4 linked regions of the Drosophila melanogaster genome follow. The protein of the gene in region 1 interacts with the protein of each later gene in a pairwise test. Each region holds a gene or a part of one and is shown in the gene's direction. Other genes may lie near its edges.

Region 1 (4,548 bases):
AATATATATTGATGAAAATAACGTCTTTAACTTACGCATAGATCTTGTTAATCCGACTGAAGATGGTCTCTAGGACTGGCAATAGAGTTCCCTTATACTGATCATCTACCAATTGTCCAATGACTTTTAATAGCATCTGCTTGCCATTGCTGCGTTGCAGCAGGAATTCTGTAAGTCGAATGCGATCCGAAATCAGTTGGCACAATGGTTCAATGCAGAGGTTCAAAAACCACATGCAACCCAACTTGGCATCGATTACAATATTTGGCTGGAACAGTACCCAGTGCGTGGAATCTGCATGGGTATAAGTGTCAAATAAAGTAACTTTTTGGATATTTAAAGAACTTACACAACTCGCACTGCAAGATTTGTCCATCAGGCGAAAGTGAGGGCAGTTTCAGGCCAAACGGTTTGATGGAGCGCCCTGGAGTTATGGGTGTATGATAGGTTATTTCATTGATCACCTCTCCGGGCAGGGAGATGTCGAATAGCAGCGAAGTGCCCGAAGCTTGATGGTGCACCACAATCAGATTATCCACCGTGTTGATGGCGAAGCGACCAAGCAGACTTAAGCGGAGCACATGGCACTTGCGTGGAGCCAAGCCCGGTCCATTGAGCAAGTGCACCTCGACTTCCATCAGTCCGGTGGTGCTATTTGACTGGAGGATAAGCACAGCCAGCACGCCGTAAACTTGGCCTAAGGTGACCTTGCTCTCCTGGACATCGCGACTTGGATTGCCCACTGAAAGGAAAGATTAAAACGCTTTTAAAGGATTTTAACCCAAAAGGATTACTTACAGTCCACTTTGGGCAGCTTGGTGATTACTTTCTGCTTGACCAGCACCGGAATCAGGGAGTTTCCTTCGCTGGTGCACAGTAGAGCCACATTGGCATCGCAGCACCAGGCGAACCACTTGATGCCAATGCTCAGGGATTTCACAGAGCGCACCTGTCGCTTCTCAGGAACTACGGTGTAGACCTCCACGCCGGTATTCGAAATCAGGGCCACCTCTCGATTGTGGACCCAAACAAAGCCATGGATCAGAGTCTTCACCTGGTGGGTAATGATGTCCTGCAGCAGAGGCTGATCTCCCTGAAAACATATGAACTCCACGGAATTCTCCTTTCGCTGAACGGCCAAGATTTGGTTGTCCGGCGAGAACTTAATGGACCTTATGGCACCGCCACGGTCGCTCATGCAAAAGGAGATGACGACATCGTCGGGAGATCCAGGACCTTTGACCACCACACCAGTAGCTCCTCCAGACCGAACAGCAAATATCTTTACAGATATAGATTTTTAGCCATCATCAACATGGATTTTTAACATGTTTTAACTATACCTGCTTGTTGGAGTCATCGAAAAACACATTGGTTAGTTGGCTGACAGCATCAAATCGTATGGGATTTGGGGTTAGCTCAATGTAGTGGATTCCATTGGAATTATCCATTGTTGTGCTGGAAAAAAATAAATAACAAACTGCAACAGCACAACTTTTTATACACCCCCCATTAGAGATGTGACTTTAGCACAGGGTGCTAGAGATGTGCCACGAGTAACAAGCTGTTTTAAGTCACGATTAATTTCATTTATTGTACGTGCAAGGATTAAAAATATAAATGTATTTAACATTATTTGTGGTATGCTTACAGTAGATATTTTTAAACATTTATACTATATTTATTTAACCCCTTCCAACTCACGCTATTATTTGCCATCACTATTGCTATCAGCGGTATTTTTGCCAGCCCTATCAGCTGTTTAGTATACAAACAACAGCGATAAGAAAAAACGGCAGACAGGACACAGAAAAATATTTTTTCTTGTGAATTTAAAAAAAGGTCTCAATAACTTTGATTCAACCACTTAATGGGACACCTGGACAAATGCCGCGTATGCTCCAGCGATGTGGCTAGAGACGACGAGGCCTACAATTTGCTGCACCATCCATATCTCGCCGTCAAATTTTCGGAGTGCACAAATTTGGTGGTGGATCCTGATGACCAGGATATTTTGCCCAGCGAAATTTGCTCGGAGTGCTACGAGCTTCTGGAGAAGTTCCACTCCTTCCGAGCACTTTGCATTATAGCCGACAATAAGTGGCGTTCTAAAAGTCTGGTAACTTGGAAGAAAATAGATCGCAGGAAACCTGTTTACGAGGTCGATGAAGATGAGGAAGAGGAGCTGGAGCTGGAAGAACTTCTATTGGAGCCGCCGGAGATGATTATATGTGATACCAATTTGAGTGCACAAAATACCCCAATAGTCGCTGAACAGGCACCGCCAACCTTGGTATTCCATACCTTCACCGAAAATGTCCAGCAACCCCCGGAAACGGAAAAGAAAGCTTTGGAAGTGAGTTTGGGTTTAAGGTTTAAACAGGAGTGTAAGTTAAGTTGTATTCAATGATTTCAGGAGCCGCCATTGACCACATACAAGTGCGACTTGTGCGCCGACGAGTTTCGAGAGGAGAAACGCTTGATTCTGCACAAGAAGGAACACCAGGGACACATGCTGTATCATTGCACTGAGCCCGGATGCGAGGAAGCTTTCAACCGATTCGAGAACCTCAGGCAGCACGAGCTAGAGCACTCGGAAGTGGGCATGCGGTTTGTCTGCGAGGAGGAGGGCTGCAACAGGATGTACCGGCACAAGGCCTCGCTGAAATACCACCAAAGCAAGGCTCACGACATTGGCAAGCCTTTGAAGACCCATATGTGCGAGTTCTGTGGTCGGGTGTTCAAGACTGGCTCTGCCCTAAGCCAGCATCGGTTCACACACGGTGACCAGCTGGTATTGCCATATGCCTGCGAACTGCCGGAATGTTCTATGCGATTCTATAGCACGGAGAAACTCAAGATCCACATGATGCGTCACCAGGGCATAAAGAACTTTAGTTGCCCCTACTGTGGTCTCAAGAAGACGACCAAAAACGAACTGCGACTGCATATCAACTATCATACTCTGGAAAGGACCTGGTCCTGCAAGGATTGCCCCAAAGTTTGCAACAGCTCAACGAGTCTTAAGAAACATATCCGCGCAATCCACGAGAAGGCACGAGATTATGCCTGCAGCTATTGCGAAAAGAAATTTGCCACCACCGACACGCGAAAATATCACGAAATGACCCACACTGGCGAAAAGAACTTTGAGTGTCACGTTTGCGGCAAGAAATTTATACAACCCTCTGCCTTGCGCACCCATCGCAAGGTCCACGAATCGGGGGATAATCAGCAGACCGCTTGTGCTCTGCTGCAACTGACTAGCATGGGTTAAAGAAGTTAACATATTTCTATTTTAGGTTCAGTGGAAAGTACAACATTCATATCGTATTTTACTTGACTCACAACTTAATTAATATTTACATACCTCCTTTATTGAGGGATTTATTACGATAACGAATTAGAAGAGCAGGGAAGAGGCAATTTTTAATAAACTAGTCTTAGTTTCTAATGGCACAAATACATGCCATTTTACCCTTAATAACGTTAACAAATCAGGAAGTTTAGGGTAAATGGCATTAATTAATAAGCTGTAGTTTTTCTATCTTATCAAGAAACTAATTAATATGACAACAACCCGCAATAACGACAATAAATCTTATGGTGTAGGGTATAAGTTAATGACAATAAATCAGAAGGTGGAAGGTACAAGTATATGACGATAACCCCAAATAATGTTAACAAAACAAGAAGAGATTATGAATGGAGACAATAACCCTTAATAACACTAATCAGGAAGTGTAGGGTAAAGTGAATTATTTTAAAGAAACTGCACTTTTAGTTTCTTACCATTTATGTATGTCAATTTACCCTTAACAACGAAAATATCAGGAAGATTAGGGTAAAAGACGTTTAGTATTATAGTCACATTTGCAACTTACACTTTAAGTAAACGACAATAACTTCGAATACTGACAATAAATCAGGAAGTATAAGGATACGGGGAGTTTTGCAATAAACTTTGGTTTAAGTTATTCACGTTTGAGAATATGCCAAGTTATCCAAATCAGGAAGTAAAGGGTAAAGTGCATATTCTTTTATGAAGTGTAGTTATAGTTTTTTGTTTCGTTCTGTTTGTTTCTTAAACTTTAAGTTTGTTGAATTTATAAAATTGTTTTCTTATTACCTATTTTTTATGAACTAAAACCTTTTACTCGGTTAAAAATGAAATTATATACTTTAAGAGTACTATTGTACTTACTGTATCGACAAATAAATACTCCAATAAAGAACCATTTCCTTTTGGGATTCAGAATGTAAATATCAATAATTGTTTAATTATATTTTCAACTAAAACAATAATGTACAGGAATTGTGTGTGTGTGTGTGTGTGTTACTAAATAAATCGGCAGAGGATTCGCTTCCTGCCGCGGACCACTAAAAACTAAAGTACATCTGCTAAAGGTCGTGAGTCTGTTTATTGTATATGGTATAGTATATAGATAGCTTTGCATACATATGTATAATGGTGTGGTAAATGATATGACGTGCCACGATCATTTCCCCCGGTAAATATGGTGAAATCTGTTGCATTAAAATCGTTGT
Region 2 (7,751 bases), on another chromosome or scaffold:
TACTAGTCAGTAAGCATTAATTATTATTTTTTAAATAAGGCAAATATGTATATTTTAAAATATGAAATACATGTATGTATGTCCGTATAAATAAAACCGTGAAATCAAATGTCGATTAAGTCATTTGACATAGCCAAGCCAGGAAATTTGCGGCTGATCCAAAAATATCTACCTGAGTGTAGCATAGGTGGGATAAATTTGGGCAATACGACCAAGATCGTCATCGTTCTCCAATTGGGAATCCTTCCGTGTACGCCGAACTGGTAGGCTGGGCATCGCTTAGCTTCGAACCCAATTACGAATATAGCAAATTTATACGCGGTATTTGTAGCTTTCCCAGGATAACAACACAATCCGCATAGACGGAATCTGCGATCAGGGGTGATCAAACGTTAGAATTTGCACAACATTTGGGTTTGTTTACCTTTTTGAAGTTCGAGATCGTAATTGCTTGTCTTGTGAGACGTAGATAGTTTTCAACGTTGGGGGTACTCCGGCCTTGGTTGTTAACCGCAACCAAATACTTAGCATGCAATTGGCGCAGTCGAATGACGGAAATTCACATTCCCTAAGTGCTCGTTAAATAGAAGTTAAAATACTAGAATTGTATACATATACTGAATCACTTGGTGAAAGAAATATAAAATGTTTGTTATCACTGATAAATTTTAATATACATTTTTAAATTCAATCAAAGTCAATTCCATATTATCTGTACTTCATTAAAAAATATAATATTATTAAAACAATACGATCCCCACCGGCGTTGTATATTTTCACCGATTTTACGTGTTTCATTCATTCTTGAGTTTCCCCTGATACGTGTCTGCGTGCTGCTGGATGTTCTTTGAGTTTTGTAAAATTTTATTTAAGTCAATGATCACTTGAGCGGTAAGGTTTGAAAATATGTTCACTAGCCTAAGTGCATGATTCAAAGAAAAATATACATAACATTTTCTACGTTAAAAAGAAGCATCTCGACTGATTTGGTTGTTTCGCTCTATCAAGCTCACGTTTCGGTTTTCCATTATTATGTAATTTGAGTGATATATATCGATTTTTAAGAATTTAACACACATTATAGAAACATAAAAAATATAGAAACATAATAAAATTATAGTGCCATCACTCGCGTTTATATTAATAATAAAAGAAAGAATACTATAGTCGAGTTCCAAGGCTATCAAATAACCGTTACCAGCTAGTGTGAATACAAACGCGAAATTGCATCAATTTTATGGAATATCGATAGATAATGGGATATAAAATGATAAAAAATTTCAAAATTGTTCCAAAGTGTGGCATTAGGGCGTTAGAGTGCGCGTGGCAAAAATTTTATTGACAAATCGATAGAAATTAAAAAGACTAATTAAATTATAGTCAGATCGACTAGGATATTGGTCCTGATCAAGAATATATATACCTTAAATGGTCGGAATACGAAAATACGACTAACGGTTATAATAAATTCATCACCACATTACTAGAAGTAATTACTATTAAATAGAAAGCGCTTACACTGCTCATAATCTTGTTATTACATTTTATAATGTTTAACGAATGCTATCTATGCTTTAAATTGAAATACTTGTTATCCAGTAGGATTATACATAATGAATTATTTCAATATACCATTTAACAACAAAACAAATTGCGCAATTCCCATCACTAATCCCTATGCTTGGTTTGATATCTCCAAAACATGGAAATGCGATTCCAGTGTAAACATCCCATTTGTTCCTCGTAACAGTCAAAGGACGGCCAAAACCACGTGTAAATATATCTGTTTAATTATATCCCAAAATTAAGTCACCAAAACTAGCAAACGCACAAAAAATATTCAGTTTGACCCGCAAGAGATCGAAAATTTTTGCGTTATCTATTTACCAATAAAGTTGTTCCATATACTCAAAATCGTCGTGGTCTTGGTGTAAAAGGGGCTTCCAATAAAGTTTTTTTCTTCATCGTCGTAGACATGGTAACACTGCAAGTGAACATAAAAATCGAAAACTGATTTATTTACAATAAACAAAAGCGCTTATCGGCTCCAGGACGCGCATATGCTGACAACCATTTGGCTAAAGGTTTAACACAAATTCCTTCCAACGACGCGGACTACTGGTAGTACCCGCAGCCTAAATTGCCGCGATGCCGTGCTGGTATTACGACAAAAAGGAGCTGCGGGAGACGCCCTCGATCTTGGATGGAATAAGCTTCGAAACGGAGCGGCGGTACAGAAAAGAAGGTGCTCGATTTATTATGGAATGTGGCACCAAAATGGGCTTGGGCCACAACACGATGGCCACCGGCGTTGTATATTTTCACCGATTTTACATGTTTCATTCGTTCCGGAGTTTCCCCCGGTACGTGACTGCGTGCTGCTGCCTGTTCTTTGCTGGCAAGGTGGAGGAGACGCCAAAGAAGTGTCGCGACATTATTAAAACTGCGCGTGGCATCCTTACCGACAATTACTTCTACTCGTTTGGCGACGACCCTAAGGAGGAGGTGATGACGCTAGAGCGTATTCTGCTGCAGACCATCAAATTCGATTTGCAAGTAGAGCATCCTTACACCTTTCTCCTAAAGTACGCTAAGTGTTTCAAAGGCGACCAGCAGAAGCTGCAAAAGATGGTGCAAATGGCGTGGAACTTCGTCAACGACTCTCTCAGCACAGTAGTTTGTCTACAGTGGGAGCCGGAGATTATCGCCGTGGCTCTTATCCATTTGGCCAGCAAGCTAAGCAAATTCACTGTGCAAGACTGGGAGGGCCGCCAGCCACAGCAGCAGCGTTGGTGGGATATGTTTGTGTCTGATGTAACGATGGAAATACTCGAAGACATCTGCCACCAAGTTCTGGACCTGTACCAATCAACCCAAAAAGAAGCGCTCCAGCCAACCAGTCCGCCCCAAAAGCCACCAAGCAGAGCCGACAGTCCAAAATCCGGCAAGCTTACCAATTCTACGGGTATTGGACCACTTTCCGTTCCACAACAGCCGCCGCCCCCCGTATGTGGCAACGGTGGCGTGCTGGAAGTTAGCAACATTCAGAGCATTAAATCCCTAGCCAGTGGCGTGCCAATCATTGGTCCTAGCGACTCCCAGAACCTGTTACAGGGCCCAACACCACCAGGTCAGCCATCCGGGTACCACATTTATCATGCTCCTCCACCGCCGCCCCCGCCGGTAGTGCCTATGCCGCCGTACCCCTCTTCCGGATGGGGAGTCCAGCAGACAGTGGTCGGACACTATAGCGGGAGCGCTGCACCACCACCACCAATGCCGCCTAGCTTGCCTCCAGGAGCCAGTGGATACTACAACGCCGGTGGGCGTCCATCGCAGCAGCGCTACTAGTAGATGCAATGACTAATAAACAAGTAAAAAAAATTTGTATATTAAAACTAGCGAACCGTTCGGAATAGGATTTAGAGCGGGGATCTTCGTACGGTTCGGTTTTCTTTTTTGGTTACACTCTAGGCCCAATATTGTCCCGGGGTATTTATCAATGATTTTTATTCCCTTATTTTAAGTCCTTACCCTTTCACATGTACTTGTTAGCAGAATTTTGCTGAAATGATGTTTCCAAAACTGAATAAAACCAAATGAACTAGAAAAAAATATTTTGGACATTGGGGCACTAACAAAAATAGATTCTTATTAAAATTGGCGAAACGTTGAGACAAAGCGGAATTGGAGTAACGGCGAAGTTTATAACAGTGGAAGATAAACATGAGAAATATGTGAGAACAATTTTTCAAAAGTGTGGGCGTGGCAGTTTTGGGGGTTTTGTATGTAAAAGGAGGGGCGTGGCCAGTGTTTTTGGTATGCAGATAAAAATTGGCAAGTCAAACAATAAAACGAAGAAAAATCTAAAAATTTTTAAATAGTGTGGCGCTATGTGTCTCCGCAAACTGTATGCTTAATCTCAACCATCTAGCTTTTATAGTTCATGAGATCTCGACGTTCATACGGACAGACGGACAGTCGGAAAGTCAGATATGGCCAGATCGACTCGACTATTGATCCTGATCAAGAATATATATACTTTATATGGTCGGAAACGCTTCCTTCTGCCTGTTACATACATACTTACAACGAATCTTGCACCTTTTACTCTACGATTAATGGGTATAATAACTCTTTAGATGTTTGAATAATTTTTGGAATGATACATAGTGTGCGAAGATTGCTCGGCTATCAGAAACAACAGTGCAGTTTTGCAGTTTCCATGGACTTTATTCTTGCCCATGGTACACTTGGAATAATAACGACTGCCCAGGCTACCTCGATTCGTATGTTTATTATAAATATAATTATGTCGTAGGCCAACGGTTTCGTTTTCCAGGCTAAAGACGAAAATGTTCGAAAATAATATTATTGACTTTGTTCGATGTTCTTCAATTTAATTTAATTTTTAAATGGTGTTAAAAATAATTAATTTCCTTTTATCTTTCAAATTTTATAAAGTCGATTTCTCTGAAACCAGGCTCTTTGATGTGATACTTACCGCGCTCTGCTTTCGAAACATCAACTACTTTGTCTCAGTTCGTTGACTTGCTTCGTTACAAACGTCTCGATCTTTTCGCTAAAAGATCTAGCTGACTTTTAGTTCTCCCGCGCTCTAGGTCCAAGGACCTCTATTTCACCAAAGACACTATGATAATTTTAGTAATTTATAAATTAACTAAACAAAATAATTTTAGTTTGGTATTATTCTAGTGTTGCTTTACCGTAAGTTGGCTATATTTAGACCAGGTATTCGGATACTTCATTTTTATAACAATTGCAAATATAGTGGTAAAACACGAAAAAATTAACAAAATATTTTTGCGGTTATACATAAATTTTTCAATGCAGAAATAATTTCTCAGAAATAATAAAATATTATATAAATATCAATATGAAGAATATGAATAAGCTTTAGAGTATTACTTATTGCCGTTTTATCAAGGGCTAAATAACACATCTAAATAAATAGTGCAATAGGAAAAGGAAAGTTTTATATTATATATTAAGGTTTAAAGCTAGGGCATAATCTATTAGACTAAAATTTACATTGTGTTCTGATCACTACCCACTTATTGCCATATATGTTGCAGGAAAGGTCTTCCGTTGATGTTTTTCGCCAGAATGCTATGGTACTTCCAATGAAGCTGAGTTTTTGTCAAGGGATCTACACGTTTGTCGACCTTGTGAAAGACAAAAGCCAGTTCTGACTGGATTAAAAGTTTGCATTTGTTTGTGCTCTACTAGTATGCCTGGCATACAGTTCTGTACAGTTCAAGTCTTCAAGTCGTTATGATATAGGACCACCTCTGTCGAAGGGAATAAATTAAGATCGTACTTGTCAATACTCCAACTAATTTTATTGAGTAAATCTAACAGTACTTAAGAGTAAGAGTTAAGATTCACATAATATGCTTATGCCAACAGAATTGTGTAAGACAACAAATTTTGGGTAAGTGGTAATGCTATATAGCCAACTGGACAGAACATGTTTATGCCAGTAAGTCGTTCACGACCTGAAAAACGATAGTCCGTGTTGGACTAACACTTTTACCTGAAAAATAACATTCTCCTGGCCGTTGAAGTGTTAAATAAGTAATTAAAGAAGATTGAATTTTAAATTTAAAACAGCAGAAATTCTTGATTTGTTTTTTAGTAGCCGGCTTACTAACTATACGCGTGACTCGTATAGAGAGAGTATACTAGATTCGTTGTAAAGTAACAGTGACATTCATACGTGCTAGAAACTAACTTGTGAGTTTTAAAGCAACACAAAAATTTGGACCAGCAAGAAATATGTCGTTCTATACGCAGGGAACTCTTAGTAGAAACTTATCAGCTAATTCAATGTAGTTATAAACCGCTTGCAAGATCCCTTTCTTATAAAAAGCATAGAGTATAATAAAATTCTGATTGTCTTAATTCGAATGTAGAGCCTTTTTCCTGTCTTTGAGCTGGCCCACCAATCCGAGAAATATTTTTTCCAATATATGTGTGGTGTGTATCTCATACTGTTTTGTTTTCAGACATGTATATATATATAACGCTAAAGTAAGATTAAAAACGAAAGGCGGGTAACAACGAAGACGAAAGAAGAATTCAGGAAGATGATGATCAACTGAGATGAGTTGAGTTAGAAAATGTTTTTTATTATATTATTTTTATTTATATTATCCAAAAATCTGCAGTAGCAATTATGTTGCGTCACGGCCCTTGAACGACGTGCAGAACACAGCCAGCCTTATGAGAAAAGTTTAAGCACTTGGATTGCAGTCGTTAAAAATTCTTGCTGTCAAACAATTAAAAAACTGTGACCTTATGTTACCCTTGCTGGCCATGTTTGTTTTAAATAGGCTTCTGTGTCACAATTATTTCTAACGCATGGCGCTCACTCGCTAGCAAAACAATCTAATGCAAAATTCGAATAACAAAACAAGAGAGAATGCTATATATTTCCCTTATATGACCGGAAAACTATGTACCTGTTACATATGTTTCAACGACTCTAGTATACCTTTCTACTCTACAAGTAACGGGTATAATTACATATGTATATGTACATATGTACATACATACATATGTATTACGTATTCCGTAAACAAATATGCACATTACAATATAAGGCGTTGATAGGCGAGGCAGATACATATATTTGTATTGATACCTGTATATTATGGCCTACATAGAAAACATTTTTGAGCTTTAAACACCAACTAAACTTTGAGTTTCTTTATTTTCTTTTTTTTTTAGAGCGGAGAGACTTTTGAACCCGACTTAAGCGGTGGGTCACGGCCATGCGATCACCTGATTTAATATGGAAGATGACTTATTAAAAAAAATTAAACAATAAAACTGGGCTAAGCACTTCTAGAGAGATGATGTGTATCCGGCTTAATGTGAAAATAAATGAGTGGTTGTGCAAATACGTCCTAACATTTGCGGGTTAGAGTCAGTACCCCACTCATGTAATACTGCGGGATCATTAAATATTCGGGCAGGGTGCGTTTACAAAAGGAGGTTGACGACGATGCCTGTGCTTGTGTGGATGCTGCTACTGTTGCCTGACGCACGATGTGACCAACCTTTCCTGAAAAAAATAGAATGTTATTTTGTAAAAAAAAATAACAATTTAATACAATTTGAAATGACTTGTATTCTGCGTTAACCTTACAAAAATTGTTACGCCCACTGGCTAAGTAACGGAAATCTGAAATTTGAATAAATCGACTATAAGATTCTCTCGTCATTAATTGACTTCCCTAAAGTTCTTAGGGTAGCAATTATGTAGTCTCACGGACTAGCCTAATTAAGGTCAAATTGCTTCCCTCTTGCGTATATTGGCAAAATTTCATTAGTTTACAATTAAAGAAAAGAACTTGTTTAGTGTCTCTGTGTCAGGGGTAACAATACTTACTAATCCATATATATATATTTGTATATCTATCGATATTCCAGAAAAATTATGAAATTTCGCGATCGCATTTCTACTAGCTGAGTAACGGGTATCTTAAAATCGGCGAAGCCGACTATAGCGTTCTATTTTATGATTAGAAAACATTTTTCTTACTGAATATGTAAATATGTAATATATCAATACCGAGTAAAACTTTTATATACAAACTATGAAAAAACAACTCTATAGAACATCTTACCCATCACGTTTGCGCAATGAAAGCGGTCATCTAGTTGCTGAAGGAGGGAAAGATCTCGACAACGTGCCCAGGCATTAAGTATGTCCCTTACATTTA
Region 3 (4,683 bases), 2.3 Mb from region 1:
TTATGGCCAGCAAAGAGCCAAGTATCTAAAAGATACGAATGCGAACGGAGCAAGAAACTGCTCTAATATATAAGGATGGTTAGCCCATCTAGAGCTCTAGATGTGTGCGTCAGTTGGCCTCAGGTGAAATGTGTGTGGAAAATGAACACGATTATGAGCAAGCCGAGAAAAAAGGCACAAATAACACGAAATTCGGTTGCTAAAAATAAGCGAAAATTCATTTTTAAGTATAGTTAGGCAAATGTGTGTTTGTGTGTGGAGCACAGGTGGAGGAGATCGCTCGAAGACGAACGAGAATTTTCACTCGAAAAGCTTCGGTTCCTTTGGAAAAGTGAGCCAAAAATCGCCGAACGAAGCGTGTTCGCAATGTAACAGAAATTATTTACACAATATGTATTTACTATGGGGGCACATGGAGAGACCCGTCAGTTGCCAAAAAGATATAATGCAGAGACAGTCATCTACGTGACCATTGAACAACAATTGTTAGATGACATCGCATTGTCTGAGGCTGAGCAGACTGCTGTCCGCACGGCCAAGGATTCACTCAAAATTGTATATTTTTGTTTATTTCGCACAATTTTTTTTCACACACTCTCTACGTCTATTTATTTATGCTGGCGAATAACACGTTTCGATGCCAAAAGTCAAGTATTTTTAGAAAACATTGCTGTAATCCTAATTGGCTGTTAGCGAATAATTTAGAAGGCATATCATAGAAAATTTTGACACTTTTATGATTTTTCTGCTTGTGTAAAAATGTTGTAATACCCCTGAGATCTGTATAGCATATATATTTGGGCTCTATATTTGGCTGGGGTTTCATGCTCTAGCCTCTTTTCTTTTTGATAATAATATATGCTAAATCAATTTGAAATCAATCGATTCAAATATTTACATATATAGTCTCTAACGCTTAAATGTATTCAATATTCTAGATGTTCTAATGTTCTAGAAACCGTTTCCAAAAGTCAAATCATTCTATTTAAGTTTGCTCCCAGAATTATATCTCAATCTTTATAGTCTAGGGACTACGTGCTGGAATACTGGTTTGGCACTACCTTTTAAATAATATCCGAGGCCCCTGAACCAAGAAAATGTGCCAATAAATATAAATTATGAACTTTATGATCTGCAGAGGATGCCAAATATTTCAACATGACTTATATGTATGTACGTTCGAGAATTGGGAAAATTTATGTGTAGATACATTCTGGCCAGACGCTAGATACACAAAATGAAACGCACAAATGACACAGGCTAATTACAGGTAAGCAATAGAAAAGAAAAGACAAGAAAAGCAGGCGTACTTCGTGTTTTTGAGTTTATTTTCGTAGGGGGCAAGCTCTCAGGCAAACTAGCGTGAAAATGCGTTCACACAAGCTTCGGCCCAAGTGAAATGAAAAATCAAAGAATTTTCCACACAACTGAGCAATTAACACAACAACACGGCCGCGTGAAAAGTCACTCGAAAGTCCCACTCACATTCACATAGGTGGTGGTGGTGGCTTATAGATATATCTCAGGGTATATCCCACTCGGATCCGATCGGCGGGGAGCCGATGGCGCCCGACGGCGACCGAAGGCTCCCGAAGGGAACCGAATAAATCGTTGAAATAGACGAATTCAGCTGGCAGGCCAAACCAATTCAACGAAATACTCTTTATTCGAACGACAACGGGATCTCTTGTTCAGTAGATCACCAGCCTTACTCCGACGTTTATTACGAATTTTCTCGGTGACTCGGTGACAACTACAAAACTGCGTGCGGTGCTGTATAGATTTTCGCTTGAGAGGAACACACAAATCATAATACTAGATACGCGAACCGATCGCACATTAATTTATAGAACCAAAATCGAAAATCTGACCTAGCAAACATGTCGTCATCGCAGGCTGTCCGCTCCTCGAAATACTCCTACCGTGCCACGTCCACCGGACCCGGTACCGCCGATGTGAACATCGAGTACATCCAGGACCTGAGCTCGCTCTCCCGCTTGGAGGTAAGGATCCCGTCCCGCTCCGTCTCGGAATCTCGAATTCGAATTCGTAATTGGAAGCGGACCGGTATCGTTTAAGAAATCGGCATCGTATTGGGCACCAAATCCCCAAAAAGACGTTGGAATTCCGACCAGGGAATAGGAATACGAAATGCGTGTGCGCCAAATTTTCTTCAAAATCTACGAGAATTTCTCTCTCTTGTTTCGGTGTCTGTGTAGAGACTGAAAAAGAATCGGAATATAATCAAGAAAAAATACGAAAAACAAACTAAGAAACCCGAAAAATTCATCTACACTCTATATCAAATGCACATATATACCGTAGATATATATTCGTGTGTTAAGTTCTCGGCGCGTTCTTGTGTGTGGAAATATAGAAAATTCGGTGAAGCAAAATTCTAGATTTGTATATGTATCTAAACGTGTCTGTATATACATATGCATTGCTAAAAAATTATGTAATGGCCACCTCTGGGCAATACATATACACGAGAAAACATCGAAGAAAAATTTGTGAAGAAATCAATCAACTGTGCTGTAAAGTGCTTTTTAATGAATGTTTTAATCAAATAATATGAAATAACGAGCCCATAAAAGATCAAACTCAATAAATGTATCCACCATTTTCTTGCAGGACAAGATCCGTTTGCTCCAAGATGATCTTGAAGTTGAACGTGAGTTGCGCCAAAGGGTGAGTCATTCAATATGGAAATATTCATAATTTTAAATATTTTTAAGTTATTTTTGAACCGAGTATTTTTAAGGTATTACTATAGGTTTCTTTGGAATATTTTTGAACATTCTTAATTTATTGAGAGCATCGTTTTTAGTCAATAAGATTATTTGCTGATGAAATCGGCGTCAGAGATATGACATATCCGAGGAAGTTAGAAAAGATCAGACCGCATTCTCCGAGACCCAATGGAAATCAAAGCGCCAGGGAAAACCATTTTTACTTTTTTCACCTCGCAAATGTCACCCTAAAAACAGCAAAAATATGTGGAAAGCCAAAATAAAATCAAAATAGACCAAAGTAGCAGTAGCGATAGAACCGATAGAAAAGTCAGCAAACAAATGCAAATCTAAGAATAAACTACCCTTCGTAGAGTTTCGAAAGTGTGAAAGTAAATGATAATGATGTGCATTGAACTTCAATCGCTTTCGTTTTTGGCTTTTCCTTCCCTGCGGAGCATTGATAAATGATTTTTCCCCTGACTTTGCAAAGACAGCGGCCGCAAAGACAGCAAAGTCAGGAACAGCCAGAGAAAAGTGGGAAAATTCGCAGGCCGAAAGTGCACTTCATTCAGCGCAATCCTCTTGGGCGTTACAAATTTAGAAAATGCGAAGAGCTCTTGCCGGAATGGAATGGGCTGGCCAGGAATGTTCTGAAAATTTTGTTAAAAAATCAAATTTAATTACTTTGTGCCTTATGGATTAGCACGCACTCGCACACAGATACAACGCCCCCCAACACACACTCACAATATATGGAACAAAATGGCTAAAATTAGCGCACGACATTCAATACAGAGAAGCGAATGATTAACTTGAAAACAACCAAAATATGAGCAGAGAAGAAAAGAAAATAAAGTAGCCAAAAAGTCATCATCATCACCATCTTCATGATCAGCGGCGGCAGAGAGGAAAATTCGCTCGCTCACTACGGGAAAATCTTCGCTTTTTGTCTGTGGGCGTGTGTCTGTGGGAAAATTAAATAATTTTCATGCACATTAAAAGTCTTCACACCGCCTGGCATTCTTTCTACATATCCACATATGCATATATAGGCGGCAAAAACATGTATCTACAAGATACATATGGCGCAAATGGATTTACGGCCCGTACTTACGTGGCCTTTGTGGCAATCGGCAACTTTTTGTTATGCCAAATGAACGGACAAACACATGTTCGCCTAGGTATTATCATAAACATAAATGTACAAACATATTCAGCGAGAGATTTAAAAGAGATTTATCAGACCAATACGTTCTTTATTTAAGCTTGGGGCATTTCAGTTAGCTGAATTTTTTATGATTGCTTCGGACAGCTCCAAATACCAGAAATCCCAATGGCCGCACATAGCTTTCATAAAATAGCATTTAATTGCAATTCGCAAAATTGACCAAACGAGGTCGTCGACAAAGGCGAAAAGCAAATGTTTAGATTCCGAGGGAGCCAACAAAAAATGTTTCTGTTCAAGCGAAAAATGTTCGAATGCCTTTTTGGAAATGCAATCTAGGAAAGCGGTGTGCGGCCGCCCACAAAAGATATATACGCATATATAGACGCATATATCGTGGATGCAATCGGACTATGGCTACACCTCTGCGTGGAAGATTTCTTGGCAAGATGCCATTGTTATTTTAGGTGTTGCATGTGCATAATTATTTTTGACTGATTAATGTGATTTATAATTTTTATTATGGGCTGTTTGAGTAGCCACAGAGCATGGCTAGCGCAGGGTATTTATAGATCCTTCACATTATACCAAGTCGCTAATGAAATCTCTTCTTAATCTCTGCTTATATTCTTCAAATTTCAGATCGAGCGCGAGAAAGCCGATCTCAGCGTTCAGGTCATTCAGATGTCCGAGCGTCTCGAGGAGGCCGAGGGTGGTGCTGAACATCAAGTGAGTACCATGTGGTAAACCAATATTGCAATCCAGCCATAACTGATGTATCTT
Region 4 (6,260 bases), on another chromosome or scaffold:
CCGCTACACTAGTATGGATTTTATGATCTTTGTCTGCGCCAAAGTTCACTGACTGCAGAAGGCGAAAATAGTTTTCCACATTTTAACGAGCTTCGGCAAGTAATAGCGAATTTTCTCTATTCATTTGGCTGATGTTCTCCTTTTAGTTTTCATATCAAATGTGCCTTTGCCTTTACAAAACGAGCGTAATTACAACTTGAATTCAAAATTTAGCAAACTATTCCAACGACGCTCGCTGAAAATCTGAATTTTCAGCTGTCTGAATATTTGCGAATATTTTTAACGATAAATACTGAAAAAGGAGGTTAACCAATTTGTTTCACTTGCGGCTGGCGAAAGTGACAACGGAAAAATCACTTCGGTGGACGGGGTGATTTTTACAAATGAGTTTCCGTATTTCATTGAATGCATATGCGATTGCATTCCTGCTATAAATATATTACACATTTTCACTTTCAGTTGGTGTTGCTCAAAACTGAGTCAATGCGATGCGTGGGCGGAATTGCAGCTGCAGTGGCTGAATTTTAATGATCCGACCAAGTGCCAAAAATAAAATTTAAAAAATATGCCAGCCAAGTGTCTAAATAAACGCGTCCATTTAAATAGATATGATGGCGAAAGTGTCAATCTAAATCTGCGTGGGCCGATGGCCAAATGCAAGGAGTCAATGCGCTCATTAAACAAACTAATCCGCGCAAGAAAAAACTGAAATCAAGAGGCAAAATCAATCATGAGAGCGGAAAGAGTTGACAGTCGTATACAAAAAACACAATAGTTCCGGAAGTTCAGGGACTTTGCACACTGAAGGTGAGTTAGTGAACCCACAAAAATGGAAATAAAACGACCTTGGGGGTTTGCCAAAATTGTGGCTAATATGTCAACATTCAGGCAAATAAAATGGCTAATAACTGACAAGAAAAACGATTGAGCAGCTATTACTAAAATATATTATGATTTTAGTGTTTATTCATTAAGAAATAATCCAAAAATTTGTAGCTGTTCGACTGGAAAGTTCTATAAGAGCAGTTTACATTTCGCAGAAACTTTAAATGCCAGTTCTTATTTAATATGTCAATTTAAAAGTTTCAGTTGAATGTATAATACATTTAAATTGCGTGATTGTTTGACTTTGACAACATATTTAAGCCACGTTAAAGCAACAATTTAGAAGGGGATAGCTTTTTATTAGCAAAGTACTAAACTGTGCTACGTGCAAACATCACTTTTATCTGACTCTTGACATTTCCTGCCAACGCTTCAAAACTTTGCAACTCTGCGCACTTGTTCAGCATTTAACCAGCATCGATAAGAATGACGGCACTTTCTCTTGCACTTTCTCCCGTTCGGAAAATGCAGTTTCCCAATAAATCTTAAAGCCTAAGTCTTTTGCTGCAGCTTATAGCTGCGTAGAAACTATACAAATGAGCGGCAATAAATTGCTGGAAGCTGCACTGCTGTGCGTGTGTTCAAGTCTATTTCTCGATTCAATTACGAAGGCGAAACTTCGTTTTCCGGCCACTAAAAGCGAGGAGATGGGTTGCACTACAGTGTCGTCCTTAAATGCGTTATTTTGAATTCAATCAGCTTTTTGCCGTCTAAAAGTATGCAGCACTAATCGGATATACGTTGAACTTTCACGGGAAATCTAAAAGTGCCAGGGCTTCAAAGGGACGAAGGGAAAAGTAAAGTATCGTGTACTCGATATTACGACACTTTCAACTATCGAAAAACCCGGTAGGCCAGTGAGTGTCAGAATTGATGGCACATCCTTCCATCGGCACTTGAGGCAAGTCATTCTTTCGAAAATTGTCGCAGCGAGCAGTGCTCTTGAAAAGTCATAAAAAGTAAAAAATTAAATTCCTCTCATTGAGTCGTTGTGTTCCGTGTCGAGCAGAGTACTTTGATTTTCGCTGTCCAGCACGCCGCGTGTGCCGTTCTCGTTTAGATCCACATACCAAAGTCCAGGCCCCGTTTCAACCAAGAACAACAACACCATCATCCATCACCCATTCGATTCCATACGGTTTTCCCATAAATTTTGAACAATCGAATCTTGACAAAATGGTTACCGACGCCCAGGACACCGTTGCACCTAAGACCAGCAGCACCAAGGAGGTGCAGTGCCAGCACTCCGGCGCCCTGGATGAGCCCCATGTCGAGGAGCTGGCTCTACCGGGCCCCGCCCCCTTGGCCACGCCCAAGAGCGGCCGCGTTGGCATCTTCAATGCCGAGGACTTCTTGTCCCGCGCCCAGTTGAACGACAAGATCAATAACATCTTGCGCTCGCCCACCAAGGCTCCAAATGGTGTGCGCCAGCGTTCCGTATTCACCAACAACAACCCATCGCCGGTGAGTAGAGTTGTCACTTCTCCATAGGATTGCCTTCATTTTGAAGGCATATGCAAAAAATCGTCTCTTTGATTTTTGCAAGTCATTTTTGCAAGTCATATTTTCTTAGCATTTTTTGCAAGTCATCTTTTCTTCCCATTTTTTGCAAGTGATCTTTGATGTACCATGTGATACCTTTTCCCTTACCAATCCCTAGCAAGCCACCATGCGCTTTGTGTCATCGATGAACAGCCCATTGGCTCCACGTATGAGCAGCCTTTCGCTGACTGGCGGAGTGAAGCGCGGCTTGGAGCGCGGCAACAGCAGCAGCAGCATGGGCAACAGCGCCAGCGTGGGCACCAGCACCTCCGTCCTGGCCAAGGAGTGCTCCAGCCAGACAAACAGCTGCGGCCGCAGCTACATGAATATGGGCATGCACGCATCTTCCCACTCGGGCTTCGGAGTCCTGCCGCAATCTGGTGCCGGCTACGAGACCATGGGCTGGAACATGGATGCCGGCAATATTACGCGCAGCGGCAAGAGTCTAACGGGACGCTTCAACTCTGGCTATGGCTATGAGGTGGATGGAGCCTACTGCATGGTAAGTGCTTTGATTTATTGCCCCGTGTTTCGTATTTTAGAAATATGCGATATCTACCTAGCCACAGGCACATCACACCCAGCAGTTCCCATCGCCAATGCCACCACCACCTTTTGCTATGGATCGCGTCAGCTCGCGCACTTTTGAGTTCGAGAACAACACACCACCACCGTGTCCAGGATCTGGACCGATTGCCATGTCCAATGGCACCATCCAGTTGCGCCTGCGCGAGGGCGTTCGGTAAGTGAACGTGGTAGGAGATTTATCCCTTGATCATCATTCCAAATCATTCCCGATTCCAGCATTGACATGACCCTGGACAAGGCTGTCCGTGTGCTGAATCAGCGCAGCATGGTTGCCGCCGCCTTATCGCGCAACTGCAGCAACTCTGCCCTCATCCATCCCAATGGGCGCATCTTGCAGAGCGGCTCCAAGGTGGAGATCGTCACCTACGACGGAATGAAGGCCAACAACTTTGTGTAAGCTTAGAAGTAGAATCGAACCTTTACTTTAAGAGTGGCAAACAACTAGTATTTTGGAATTTAAACTTGTACTTCTCATTAGATTTTCGTATAAAATCTATGCAACTATAGCTGCAATCATTTTCTTCCAGTCGCTATGCCAAAATGTGGTACAAGGGCGTTAGCTTCACCAGCGAGTCCTGTGCCCTCATCTATCTGGTGGACACAGCTGGCACTCGCACCACCACCGATACCTTCACCGACCTGACCAAGGACTACACCTTGGCGGTGTTCTATGAGTGAGTTAAGCACGAAATTTGCCCAAATCAATTCGCCAAGCTCCTCTTTCCAATTAACAACACCCTCCAGCGATTCGCGCCACGGCCCATCCTTTGTGTCCGATGCCCACGACGTAATCGCCAACTCCACCTACAATTGCGCCGAGGACGGCACCGAGGTGTATGACATCAATGGATTCCGCATCACCCAGGCGGCCGACGGCCTGGTCAAGGTCAGCCGCCAGCACAGCAAGTGCCTGATTCGCACCAGTCCGGGCAATGGATCCGCCACCCTGACCACCACCGGCATCCACTGCACGGCTTCGTTGGGCAAGACCTCGCACCTGTTCGTCCGGTGAGTTGGCCACTGCATCCACACCTATTTGCAATAATGATGCACTCGAAGAATGCATTGTTCTCGTCGTATATTTATTCGATTATAACACTGATAGTGTTTAATTGATTCCATACTTTTGCAGTAATTCAGTTAATCGGATATTTGAAGATTCCTTTTGTTCTTTTTTTTTTTGCAGTCGTAATGAGAAGCGCATGCACTTCGACGGATCCTGTTTCATTGTACGCAATGCTGGTCACTCGGCTGGATTCAATGAAAACAACCTGCTCATTGTCTACTAAGTACCGCTCGCACCATGGGATGTGCATCGCGTTGGGTGGCCATCCAAATGCCACCTATAGCCACCCAGCGTGGGCAATCGAAAATCACCCCATTATACCACCACCACACACACATCACAGAAAACACACACACGCAAACCGACTCAAGCGTCGATATAGTGACCCCCCCAAAAAAAAAAATCAAAAAATCCAAACAAAACAACATTGGAAAACTGGGGCCTCGGCGTGGAGAGGGATCAGATCATTTAAGAAAACCTGGTCTTCTAAACAAAAAAAATTATAAATGTATAACTGCATTTAAGATGAAACAGCTCGAAAAAATGCGCGAGCAACGAAAACTGGCGATCCTGATCCTTGAAGGATTGCTTTTCGATTGCTCGACGTAGGCGCAACGCAAACACTAGGGAATTAGTTTTAGATAATCACACTTACAATCTCTCTAGCCCTCGATATCCTTGTTTTTATACGCATACCGTTATTTAGTACAGGCAATTCAGGTGGAATAGGCTCTGGAAAATCCACCTGTTGCCTGAAACGCTGGCCAAGACAATGCTATTTCGATCAGGGCCAGCGTTTGGTGTTATAAAAAGAATGAACTTGGTTCGCGTTTCGCTTCTTTTCGGCCCTCACAGTATAGCAAAATTAAGTTTCCAACGATTTTTTAAACGTTCGACACGTACTTGAAATGCAACAAATTCAGCAAGATTGAAAATCGAAAGTTGCAAAATTTCCACAAAAAAAAAAAAATAAGCAAAAATTGATAAAATCGCTGATATCAAAATTAGCCTCTGCATGATAAAAAATTAGCTAACAAACGACGGCTGCTTTGGCCAACGTAACACCAGTGACAATTCAGTTAGTTCTAAGTTACCAGTTAAGATTAGTTAAGTTACTACAATCCAACCATGTTCATCCTCACACAACACACACACACTCTACAGCGCAAACGTTGCGTAAAATGTAAAATGAGTGGACTTAGTGCTTAAATTTCCAAGTGTAGACGGAATAGTACCACTACCACACTCGTGGAATACAGATACACGCACACATGCACAAGCACACACACACACACACACACACGACAGGCCAAAGTGAGAAATTGTGACTGAAATGGAATACAATTAATTAGCTTACGAAACAAACGCTTATCTGAAAAAGGCAGTCGTCTTTGAAAACAAAGTTAAAACACGTGCACACTTTTAAACACCATTCCTTAAAAAAAAAAAAGTGAAACGCCTTGCAATTATACCTGTGTAGCCTTACAACAACAATCTTCAAAACTCTAAATTTAATCCTCATGTATATCGAAATTTATGTGCACAAAAATCGATGTCAAAAAGTAATACATGAAAGTCCTGAATAAAGTAAATTCTATCTGCGCTACTGTAATAGATTCGTATAATTTTGTTAATTCTCATGGGTTAAATCTGGATCGAGATACAATTTTCAGCGGCTCCTGGCAACCATATATGACCTCATACCTTTCCTCTGGCATTGTAAAAGTACAAGAAAATTGCTTAACGACTACAATTCACATTACAACCCTGTTGGAGGAGTTGTGGCACCTGAAGGGCCATCAGGACTTGAAATCTTTTCGGGCTTAAAGAGTTTGCGAGCTATGTAAATATTTAAAGGAATGAATTGCACGTTTAAAAGTAATTGAATGTTTGCCAAAAAAGGTTTTCATATACAAATATTATAAAAGATGAGAGGTCTTCATGTTTACCTGCAAACAAATCCAAAAGCACAACGATATGGGATCGGCAGTCATGCAGACCAAGCTCTCCAACAGACTTAACCTGGAGTTGGAGCCGGAGGAGCGGCCCGTTGGCAGTGGCTGTTGATAGAGATTAGTGGATAATGCTGGGGCGGAACTATATGCCACGGCTGACTCTGTCATAGGAAGAAAGTGGTTCCATGGTTAGCGGGTACACAGAGAGAAATGGCGGGTGAGCG

What was found.
Region 2: the proteins of CG10147 (region 1) and CycK interact in a two-hybrid assay, tested with the Drosophila melanogaster proteins (one large-scale study listed by BioGRID).
Region 3: the proteins of CG10147 (region 1) and Prm interact in a two-hybrid assay, tested with the Drosophila melanogaster proteins (one large-scale study listed by BioGRID).
Region 4: the proteins of CG10147 (region 1) and fest interact in a two-hybrid assay, tested with the Drosophila melanogaster proteins (one large-scale study listed by BioGRID).

The regions. Positions count from the first base shown.
Region 1 is NT_037436.4:6,485,664-6,490,211, reverse strand, and holds CG10147 (uncharacterized protein), read left to right. Parts: upstream 1-1,787; 5' UTR 1,788-1,870; coding exon 1,871-2,356; intron 2,357-2,416; coding exon 2,417-3,277; 3' UTR 3,278-4,045; downstream 4,046-4,548. Other genes in the region: bulli, read right to left, coding at 36-294, 350-742, 799-1,282, 1,344-1,451.
Region 2 is NT_033779.5:22,124,121-22,131,871, reverse strand, and holds CycK (cyclin K), read left to right. Parts: upstream 1-1,729; 5' UTR 1,730-2,148; coding exon 2,149-3,351; 3' UTR 3,352-6,932; coding exon of another isoform or gene 6,933-7,090; 3' UTR 7,091-7,587; downstream 7,588-7,751. Other genes in the region: CG3651 (uncharacterized protein), read right to left, coding at 6,933-7,090, 7,656-7,751.
Region 3 is NT_037436.4:8,742,283-8,746,965, reverse strand, and holds the start of Prm (paramyosin), read left to right. Parts: upstream 1-1,655; 5' UTR 1,656-1,880; coding exon 1,881-2,003; intron 2,004-2,634; coding exon 2,635-2,691; intron 2,692-4,542; coding exon 4,543-4,629; intron 4,630-4,683. UniProt on the Drosophila melanogaster protein: Paramyosin is a major structural component of many thick filaments isolated from invertebrate muscles.
Region 4 is NT_033778.4:19,340,023-19,346,282, forward strand, and holds fest (wurstfest), read left to right. Parts: upstream 1-1,786; 5' UTR 1,787-2,061; coding exon 2,062-2,349; intron 2,350-2,545; coding exon 2,546-2,929; intron 2,930-2,990; coding exon 2,991-3,169; intron 3,170-3,231; coding exon 3,232-3,408; intron 3,409-3,542; coding exon 3,543-3,689; intron 3,690-3,759; coding exon 3,760-4,023; intron 4,024-4,201; coding exon 4,202-4,304; 3' UTR 4,305-5,732; downstream 5,733-6,260. Other genes in the region: Rgk1 (Rad, Gem/Kir family member 1), read right to left, coding at 6,031-6,075.